Drosophila melanogaster: one gene and its partner. Changing the gene in region 1 together with any one later gene gives a genetic interaction. Each region holds a gene or a part of one and is shown on either strand. Other genes may lie near its edges.

Region 1 (5,239 bases):
TCTTTCGTAAGCACCTTGAAATCAAAGAACACACCAAAAACCTATGCTTACCACTCAACTCAAGTGATCTTGAACATGGTATTACTGAACATATCTATGGGTACCTAGAAATCAAATTCCCTTTAACCATCAATGCCGATCGACGGGGGTTCTTCTTTATTGACAATGGCATTGACAGTGAATACTTTCCACGATGGCAGAATCAGGTGGTTTGAGCCCCAAGATCAAGGTGGGATGATGGTGGGTAGTAACGTGCTACCAGGTGATTGTTTTGGTGGCTCGCTGGTTCAGCGGGTGGGTGTGGATCGGTCTATTGGGGTGGCTCGTCTGCCGTTTGACGATTTAAGTTTGCGCTCGGCTAGTGCCCGTCGTAAAGCACTAAAATCCGTAGACAAATTATTTACGTTGGTTGCGATTGTGATTGTGGTTGCTTCGGTTGTTTCTTTTTTTTTTGACAACGCACGTTTAGGTGTGTGTTTTTTTTTTTTTTGGGCTTGACGGTTCGTCGGTGGGCGTGGCAGTGGCGATGGCGTTGGCGCCATGGGTAAGGTTTTTATGCGCCCAATTTTGGGTGGGGATGTGGCCCATGCTCCGTAGATTCTAAAAAAGGTCGCTGGTCAAGCTGATCAGCAAAAACAGAGCACACAGTGGGCCGTGAGAAGTGATCCTCACATCCGAAGCACACAATAGCAATAAGAAATAGTGTCTTTGATCAAGATGATTTAGTTAGTTTTCAATATATGAATATCCTTCCCACCTATCTATCTATCTATCTATCCTATCCTTAGGTTTAACCATTTAGATACAATAAACGTTTTCCTTAAAATCAAACCATTTGCAATAAAGATTACTGTAACAAGAAATACCCAATGAGTGCACATTTTCTTAACCGTAGATATCTTTTACTAAATTGGGTTGTATAAAATCGAGTTTTTGACGTTAATTAAATGGGCATGTCAGGGTCGAATTTTATGGCTTATAGGAAATGTTGTTGAAATGTTATCAATCGAAAAATATATTTTTATTGTTATATTCAATGATTCATAGGATGGAATAGGGAGCTCAGAAAGTTTTATAGAATTATATAACAATTAAGAATTTTATTAATATATTAAGTTTAACATAATCTAATTTTCATTAAGATCTTGAGATGTGTTGTTCAATCCTGGCGACGATTTGCTCCACTGTACTAAACCCATATTCCGTTGGTTACTACACAGTATCTCTTTTTTGCGACGATCGATTTTGGTTGGTTTGAGGGGGGGGGGGGGTGGTGTTGGGTGGAGGTGGAGGGAGAGGTTGGGGGCAGGCAGTTAGTGGGCTGAGCACTGCTGGCAAATTTCGTAGTTGCCGTTTGTCGATCGGCATTTCAACTTGATTTAGTTTAGTTCAGTTCCGTTTAGTTAGTTCAGGGCTGGGGGTGGGGCTCCCCCACCCGCACACTCGAAAAAAAAGCCACTCACACACCTCTTTGAGTGATTCCCAACAGTCTTGTTCTTGTTTTATGAGCGAAGAGCTCAATGTGAGTGAGCACTGGATTAGAGATCACACGTACAGTGCACACAACCCCATACATACACATCTATAAGTGAACTAACTCACCGATCGGCAGTTAAAGGAGCTGGTTGAATTGTATTAATGCCGCTTGTTCGCTTGCCGTGCGCTTTTGAGCTCTTCGCTCTGATTTCTTTTTATAATTTAAGTACCGGACTCCGAGGAGAGCTCGTTTTGAAGTAACCAATTGGTAGTAATGTAACGGTGAAGCTCCTTCCGGAAAAACGGGAAACGGGCGGAGAGAGAAGGCGACTTTAAGTTTAAAGCTCGGCTGGAAATTGTCGAAAACGAAACGGAAAAGCGAAAAAGAAACCGAAATAGCGGTTAGCGGGCAGCGACGTCGACGCCTACGCCTACGCCGGCAGAGACTGGAAACCGACGTGAGCTTGGAGCAGAGCGTTCCATTTAAATCAGAACGGTTACGGGAATCGAGAAGCGACGGAGCGATCGTCACCGTTAACAAAAAGTGTCAACCTTCCATTTTTCACATCAAATTCAGCGAGCACCGGTAACGGTAACGGTCCTGCGACGCGATCGCCGCGAGTGTATATTTTTTTTTTAGCTCAGTCTTCAGTGTTTCGCGATTCTCTTTAAAAGAAAAAAAAAATAATAAGTCAAAACTACAAACCACACAGCGAAAGGCGAAAGCCAACGGTTCCTGCGAGTGTTTATTTTTTTTTTCAACAATTTTTGATCGTGGGTATCCTGAAAGTGAAGCATAAAAGTTAAGAGGATCGGAATGGAACGGAAAGAATAATTGCAAATAAATGAAAAAGAAGGAATACCAGAAGGAATTCAATTTAATATCAGTGCACTTGTAAACAACACACATTATCGCCAAGCCACCCAACCTACAAATCTCTTCCATCCGTGTGACTGTCATTAATTTTTGGTGTGGTTCCCGTGGTCACCTTGCACGGCGTTATCTGAGTGGGCCACGAAGAGAGGAGCAAGAGCGCGATCCATTGCACGCCCGGAATCGAAACGATTACATATAGTGCACAGGTTAGAGTTCTTCTGGGCCCAATCTAAACGATCGGATTCGCATGTGCGCCCCACTTCAGACGCGCTGTCTACACTCGCGGAAAAAGTCCATGTGCATCTCTTAAAAAATTAAGTTCGATTCTACATTTACAAAAATAGTCTTTTTCTTACATATCAGAAATCTTAGCCAAACTCAATGATACTATCACACAAGAACCTTTAATGACATTAATCTTAAACATTCTGTTTAACTCGGATAGGTTTTGTTTTTTTTAGAGTGTTTTGTCAAAATCCGGTAAATCAATCAGTGCCGCACCTCCGAAACGGTATCTGTAGTATGAATGCATTTAATTAACGAAATTGTTTCACAGTGCAAAAGTGTTTGCTTAACTGTTGTTACCATATGCAAAAACGTTTTACGTACGCCCGCTACGAATGTACCGTTAGCAGTAGTCAGCGCAAATAACGGCAACCAGTTATGTATCTGTTATCGATCAGTCCGATTGGCAGAGGGCTCAAGAATGTTAGGCCAACATCATCCATCATGGGGCATTTGGTTATAAGCAAATATGGCCCAAACTATAGATCCGTTCGGTTCGTCAATCAGTTCAGTTAGTTGGTAACTCTGTTAACTCGGTTGCTGGATAAAGGCCAATCGGCAATACATGTATAGGAATGATATTAAATACTAAATCCATGTTAGTGAAATATTTCCAAAATTAATCGTAATGTTTAAAATTAATAACAATTTTCAAAGTTAAAAAAATACATATATGTATATCACAAAAACTATATCACTTGCAGACAAACACAAAACGATAGAAAGTCATTATTATAGTTTCAAGATTTGCAAGCTAAAAATTAAGAATTCTATCCAATCTTTTATGCAGTTATGGACACATAACTGTCGCCTTTAATTGCCGTGTATAGCTCGAAGCTCTGACGTAGTCTTATCAAAGGAAGGAAAACCAGAAGCACCAACTAAGACGATGACGAGACTGACGGAGGAAACGAGACATTGATAGATCGCAATTCAATTAATCATCTTGCCGCGCCGGCTTGTAAAACAATGTCATCATTAGCACCCAATAGGCTCATCAGGCCCGCCTGGTATTTCCACCCAGATTTTTCAGACTCCGGACACAATGCTTGCGATTCTGTGCCTTATTCGACACCCCTCTCATCCCGCCCTAGATTTTTACTCATCTTTCTCCGGGAAGAATTGAAAATTGGAAAAGAAAAAAAAAAAAAAGAAAAATAACGAAAGAAAAGCACAGCACGGCTTTTGACGCTTGACGACTTTTGCGATTATTTACTAAACGTGTTCATTTTGCAGTTGCTGCTATTTATTATTGATTATACGACTATTTAGCGTCGGTATATGTAAATATTTTGTTATTTATTAATTTTGTTTCACATAATATACGACCGTAGTCCGTACGACTTCCCCGCCAATTCTGCACGTAACACGGGCTTCTCAGTTCTCAATTCTCCGTTCTCGATTTTTAATTTTTAATACTCTGGGGATGCACGTGCCCCTGGATCGTTGTGATAGTGATCTAGCGATCCTTCGGCGATCTATCCAAAAATACCCAACGATCACCATGAACTGGAGTATGTGGGCTATCAATTAGTAAATGCTTTTATTGTCATATTAAATGTTCTGTTGTCTACACCACTTGACGTCAAACATTGACTTAATTCATTTACATGATCATCGAACATGATTATCAGGGTTTTATTTGGGTTCGTCTTGGGTTCGGTTCGATAAAGAGTGGCTCCATTTTATGGCTTTACGACGGGTGTGTTGTGAGTTGTGAGTGGGGGTGTTTGTCTGCGAAATTTCCACGGGTCTCGTGAAAGTTATGAGCAAGCCTATACACTTTTGGGATTAATATTAACCTTCTGCCATATTTGGTATTTTATGAAATAACGATCCTAATTTACTGTTAACCCGATTCGATTATCAGTTATTTCCGCAAACTTTTTGGCAGAATTTTCCACTCCAAAAGAATTCCAAGAGGGCAAGCCCAAAAAAAAAAGAAACAAAAAAGGGAGGAAAAAAAAGCGTTAAAAAGATCGCGTTTGGGAACACACAGCGTCATCGAAATGTTTGTTCGGAATAAATAAAAACATAAAAAAAAAAGGAAACACAATAAATGAAAAGACTTCCATTGAACGGCGTCATCGCCAGCCAGTCAGTGCTCGAGGAACGAGCCCAATAGACGACTTTTTATTTTATTGTTAACAAATTATTGTAGTCGCCGTAGTTGCTTTTTAGTTGCCAGCGGGAATACAGGCAATAGCCAAATAGCCATCATGTAGCGAAAAAAACAAAAAAAATAAATAAACAGAAAAAAACACAAGACTACTCCATAGATAATTTAATAGAAATTATACAGTAAGAAGCGATAATAATAATTAAAACTGTTGCAGAACAAAAGGCAGCGTAGCGTAGAATCGTTATCAGCGATCACTTGACTTGAACAACGGGAATAAACAATTCGAATTGTCCCAATGTAATCAAGCGTGTAATGAGAAGACTTTACCGATACGCGGCGATAGTAGATCAGCGTTGAAAATAGAACCAATAGAGCCCATAGAACCAACCCCCACCTAAGGAAGGTATCGAAAGACCAAAGCAACTGAAGGAAGCATAGTAGTATAGCTCGATTAGTTGATTCACGTGAATTGGCGGGGG
Region 2 (5,227 bases), on another chromosome or scaffold:
GCCAATCTGGTGAAAGTGAAATCCCTGAAATATGTTGATCTTACCAACAATAGTCTGGAGGATGTGCCCGCTTCGATAGTGGGCAGCATGCGTAATGGTAGCCAAGTACTTCTGGCCGGAAATCCTCTGCACTGCGGATGCAATGCACGACCGTTGAAATACTTTATGCTGCAGCAAACGATAGCTGGAGAGGATTTGAAGAGTATTTACTGCGGAACGCCGGCTTTGATCAAGGACAAGCAGCTTATATCTTTGGACGATGAGTATCTGCACTGCGCCGAGGATGAGCAGGAGATGTATAAGGGCATTGACTATGAACAGCTTACAGATGTCCGATTCCGAGAAGTGAAAACGTATGCATATTTTGCAGTTTGAACTTAAAGTAACTTATAATCCTTGTACATTTTTCAAATAGCAACAAAGCGGGCATGTTGACCCTATGCTGGTATGTCTCCGGCTTTTCAGACGTCTCAGACTTCCACGTTTATATCCGAAGCAGTAGCAACGATGTGCTTCACCAGTCGGACTATGCCTATAACAATCGTACTGCCCAAATCCCGGTGGAAGAGCTATCGACGCTGGGAGAAGAGAAACTTCGAGGCGCTGAGATATGTATAGTATCCCGGGATAGCGATGGAAATACGCGCAAGTGGTTCTCCGGGCAGTGCCAGCAGCTACCTTCGCTGAAGCGGCCCCGGACTTTCTTCTTCGGAAACTTTCAGGTCCGCGGTGGCGTTTCCCGGACCTCCAGCAGCCTACCTCGTTGCCTTTTGTATATAATACTCGTTTTGTTTGTTGCCAGATTGTAGTTAGCATGGGAAAACTGTGCACCAAGATTATTTTCTTAATAAGTAGATAACTATACTCGAAAATGATTGTAATACTGATTGTCTTCAAGTTACAAATTGTGCACTTTATGTATGTAAAAATCGTTTTAAGTTCGTATCGATGTGATAAAATGAATCTTGAAAAGAGATCAGATTGTCCTTGATCTTTGATCCCATTGTTGGCCGTTTGCTAGTGTGTGTCGCTGTGGCCATGGCTCACTGTAAGGACACGCTGTGCTCTGACCTTACAGCTGAACATGTGCGCGACGCCCTATTATCACAGCCGTGCGCACATGTATTTGTTTACTTGGACGCCGCCTCGCGTGGGCAGCGCAATTCAGAAAGCGTTGGAGCCCACAGCCAACCCAACGGGCCAGCTGATGGCTGATGGCCCAGGCTGGCTGACTTTCATTCAGGGCGAAAACACAAAGGCTGTAATCCGAAGTGCTCTTCGGCGCGGCGATTCATTCTCAACTCGGACTCGGCTCCTGTTTGTGCAGCGGGAGCGGACAAAAGGACTGCGAGCGAGTGAAAGGACTCGCCTGAGAGCCTGGCAAATGCGCACTCGCGCTCTCAACCGAAAAGGCATGCGAGTAGCACACTGGCGGTCGAAATTGTTTGCACAGCTACAGTATCGGCATGCTCCTAGAATTATGCTATTGTTTTTGTTATTTGGCTCTACAGTTTCCTGTTCTGAATATATTTAATTTATTACCAGGGGGGAAATATACATACGTTAGCAATGTTTTTAAAGCTTTATTATTTCTTAAATATATACAACACAAATTTAATGTAAAGGTACAGCAATTAAGATTGTTTTTAATTTTTGGATTTTATTACTGAGGTAATTTCTGATCAATACATGTGTGTATTACACCCTACCTTATTCGATAGCTTCCAGGAGATATTGAAGGAGCATCCAAAGGACCTATCAATTCGACCGAACCTCCACTGTGCCGCAGGACACGAGACACTAAGGACATGTGCACTTTCACTGCCGCGCGCCACCCACATGCTCTCGGTTTCACTTTGGCCGCAGAAGAATGTGCTTTTGTGCCGTTCGCCTTTGCCATCCTGGTCCTCCTGCCCCCGCCGCCTCCTCCTTAGGATTTTGGCAGGCGACTTTGCCTGTCCTTATCGATTTTCAGCGAATCTCGCGGGCTCGGCTCGGCCGTTTCTGCTTCTGTTTCTGTTACCACGGCGCACGTCAGTGGCATGCGAATCGGGAAGCCAAGTTTCACTTGTCGCGCTGAGTTCGTTCGTGTCGCAGCAGCAGCAGCAGTCGCAGCAGCAGTAGCAGTCGCAGCAGCAGCAGCGAGTGTGCCGTTATTCCGTTCGTTACATAAAGAAGAAATTTCAAATAGCAAGTTTAAGTGCGCTGCTCGGTGGCGAATGGCATAAATCAGCATTCAGCGAAAGCAGCATTGTGATAAACATTTAAACGAAAGGAGCCAGCGCGACCCAATAAAAAATAAATTAAAATAGCCAAGTGAAATCAAAACGAAATCAAGGAAAAGTAATGAAATAATGTGCATTTGGTGAGCCAGCGACTGTGTATCTGGTGTATAGAGCCCAACATATATGAAAATATGAAATATTAAATGTGCCGTAACACGGGCGTTGAAAAAATTACCAGGTAGTCGTGGGCTCGGGAAAAAAAGAGAAGTTCCAAAGGGGCGAGGACGAGGTGGAGCAAGCTATTGGAGGAGAAGGAGCAGTAGGAGGGAGGAGGAAAGATGGCGAAAGACGAAAGCGAACGAAATTGTAATAGAGGTCAAAAGAAGCATTGATTTAACGTGTGCACTTCCTCCCACTTTCAGCTCCACTCCTCTTGGCTTTCTCTTCGTCGGCTCCTCCTTGTTGTTCTCCCACCACCCACGCCACCACCACCACCACTACCAGTGCCACCCACCGTGTGTCCTGTGTGTCCTGTGCCGTTCTTCGTGCCACGACTGTGAACTGTGTCTGTGCGTGCCTCTCTCGCAATATTTGCGTGTGCGTGCCTCCTGTGTCTCTGTGTGTTATAAATAATTTGTTTAAAATTCGTCAAATCGCTTGACGTTTCATTCAATAAATTCCATCTACCAGGACACACGCTCACACACACTGGCACACGCACGCACACACGCACAGACGCAATGCCCCGTGTGGCGCCCGTGAATCGTGTATGTATGTGCGAAAAATGTTGATGACGAACCACTTACGTCTATCGCAACCCACGAATCCAACGAAACCACGACAAACACAGCCGCAGCAGCTGAAAAAATCGCATGTAACACACCAACACAACCGTACACCACACACACACAAACACGCCCATACATAGCCCTAGGACACACGTACCGTTCAATATCCAATAAGAAACCAAGCATAATTACATAATCAAATAGAACGACTGGCAAAAAAAATAAGGAAATATAAAAAGACAAGAGACAAACACGAATAAATAAATAAAAAAAAAAACACGAGCAACAAAAGCGGAAACCAGCGAAAACAAGGACACGAAAGCAAACACGATAAATCAGCGCAAAGTGCAGCATTATTTAATCAACGCCAGAGTCAGTCAGCAAGTGGAAAAACCCTGGAAACGCCTAAAAATAAAGGACACGCGATAACCAAAAATAGAACGTAATGATAAAACCAAAACCAAAGTACCTGCAACAATGAAATTGAGCAAATCTTAAAGGCGTAACCCAGACAAGCAAGCCCAAGATTAGAATTACTTTTAGAAATATACAAAAAGACACTCGCTATATACAAAAGTGCTATAGATAAACGATAAACGCTATCCGCAGTAAAAACAACGCAAAAAAGCAAATAAATTAAAGTAGTTCGTTGACGTTTGTTCACCGCTGGAAGTTATCGATACAGCCCAAGGATATAGAGCGTAATCCCCGTTGAGATAGTGTAATGGAACTAACCTCGTAGTTTGTAGAGAGACCTGCGTCTCAGCCTGTAGGACAGCAAATTCAAATAACCGCAACATAAACGCACTTATCGACTAACTAAAACTACCAAGTAGTTGCCTCTCTATATACAATATATATACCTATATATATATTTATACACCTACGAGATATATACAAGATACTTAGCCGTAGCGATTAGACGAAAAGCGCCAGTCTGTACATCTACCTATATGGATTTATTTTTATAATGCCGCTAATGCAAAACTGGATCCCCGCCCTCGACCTAGGCCTTTCAAATTGCATCTGAATAAGTAACGAGGGCGATATTAATGCATTAATTGGGTGACGAAGGACGTCGCCACACGGAGTCCCAAGGAGGGACTGTTGCCGGGTCCGGATCCTTTGCGTGTTGCTCGTGTCAGATACACAAATACGCCCAGAGCCGTAATCCGTGGACTCGCAGAGGAGGAGTGATACGAACGTACAGGACGAATTAAAGCTACCTGCTTTGGGTTTCTCGTGTTGCGCTGCCTTGACGTAACTCCGCCTTAACTCGCGTCGCTTCCATTTGCCACAAAAGTGAAAAAAAAACAGAAAATAAAGGGCGACCGCAAAGCCAAAACTGCGGTGCGTTCGTTAAACTTTCATGACCAAACATTAACTTAAGCAGGGAGGAGGAGGTGGAGGAGAGGCGTGGCCAGAAGCCAGGTTGGAAGGCCAGGCGGGATAGCATACATTTCGGAGCAAGGAAACTGAGCTGTCATCATCACTGTCCCATCCCCTCCAACAGCTAGTTTGTTATTTGTGATAAATTATTCAGTGATCCACATTTCGGATCCCGATCCTGCCCACCCCACTTCAGCTCCAGTTACCGTTACCGTTATCGTTATCGTTACAGTACCAGCTCCAGTTCCAGGCCCCACCATCACATCTGTACACCAGCAACCACCAACCGAATAGCAACAATAACTATACCCTAGTGGATAAACGTCATTTATAATCCAGAGTACAAAGTACGAAACTAAAACTCAAACAAAAGCTAAACTATAAATAGTAACATATGGTATTATTATACACGCAACTCAAACAGATAGTGTCATAGAGTCACATAACCTCAAAGAAACGAAAACGAGCGCATAACGAAACAAAACGAAAAGTGAAGAACCATAAGCAATATAAACAGTGCTGTTGACTATTTTAGAGGCCACCTTTTAGATACCGATACCTTCTCACCCAACCTACGTTACTCAACCAAACACCTATGAACCCACCAAAAACGAATCGAAAACCTAACCTAACCTAAAACCTAAAACCTTAAAACACGGATAACGGCGAACAGCCCCATGTGCGAGTGAGACAGCCCGAATAAAGAAGAAAGAGAGTAACACAACGAAAAGCAATTAATTTTTGTTTACGTGTCCGTGTGCGCTGGACTTGTATTAGTTAATGCCAAAAATCGAAGCGGAAGTTGCACCCATACCTGCACACCCA

What was found.
Region 2: of Ork1 (region 1) and Ih, changing one suppresses a phenotype caused by changing the other (phenotypic suppression), as found in Drosophila melanogaster (one study listed by BioGRID).

The regions. Positions count from the first base shown.
Region 1 is NC_004354.4:10,887,652-10,892,890, reverse strand, and holds the start of Ork1 (open rectifier K[+] channel 1), read left to right. Parts: upstream 1-2,070; 5' UTR 2,071-2,559; intron 2,560-5,239. UniProt on the Drosophila melanogaster protein: Background potassium channel. Rectification is dependent on external potassium concentration. Acts as an outwardly rectifying channel but as external potassium levels increase, this is reversed.
Region 2 is NT_033778.4:14,274,064-14,279,290, forward strand, and holds the start of Ih (I[[h]] channel), read left to right. Parts: upstream 1-2,066; 5' UTR 2,067-2,463; exon of another isoform or gene 2,464-3,217; 5' UTR 3,218-5,227. Other genes in the region: conv (convoluted), read left to right, coding at 1-353, 416-809.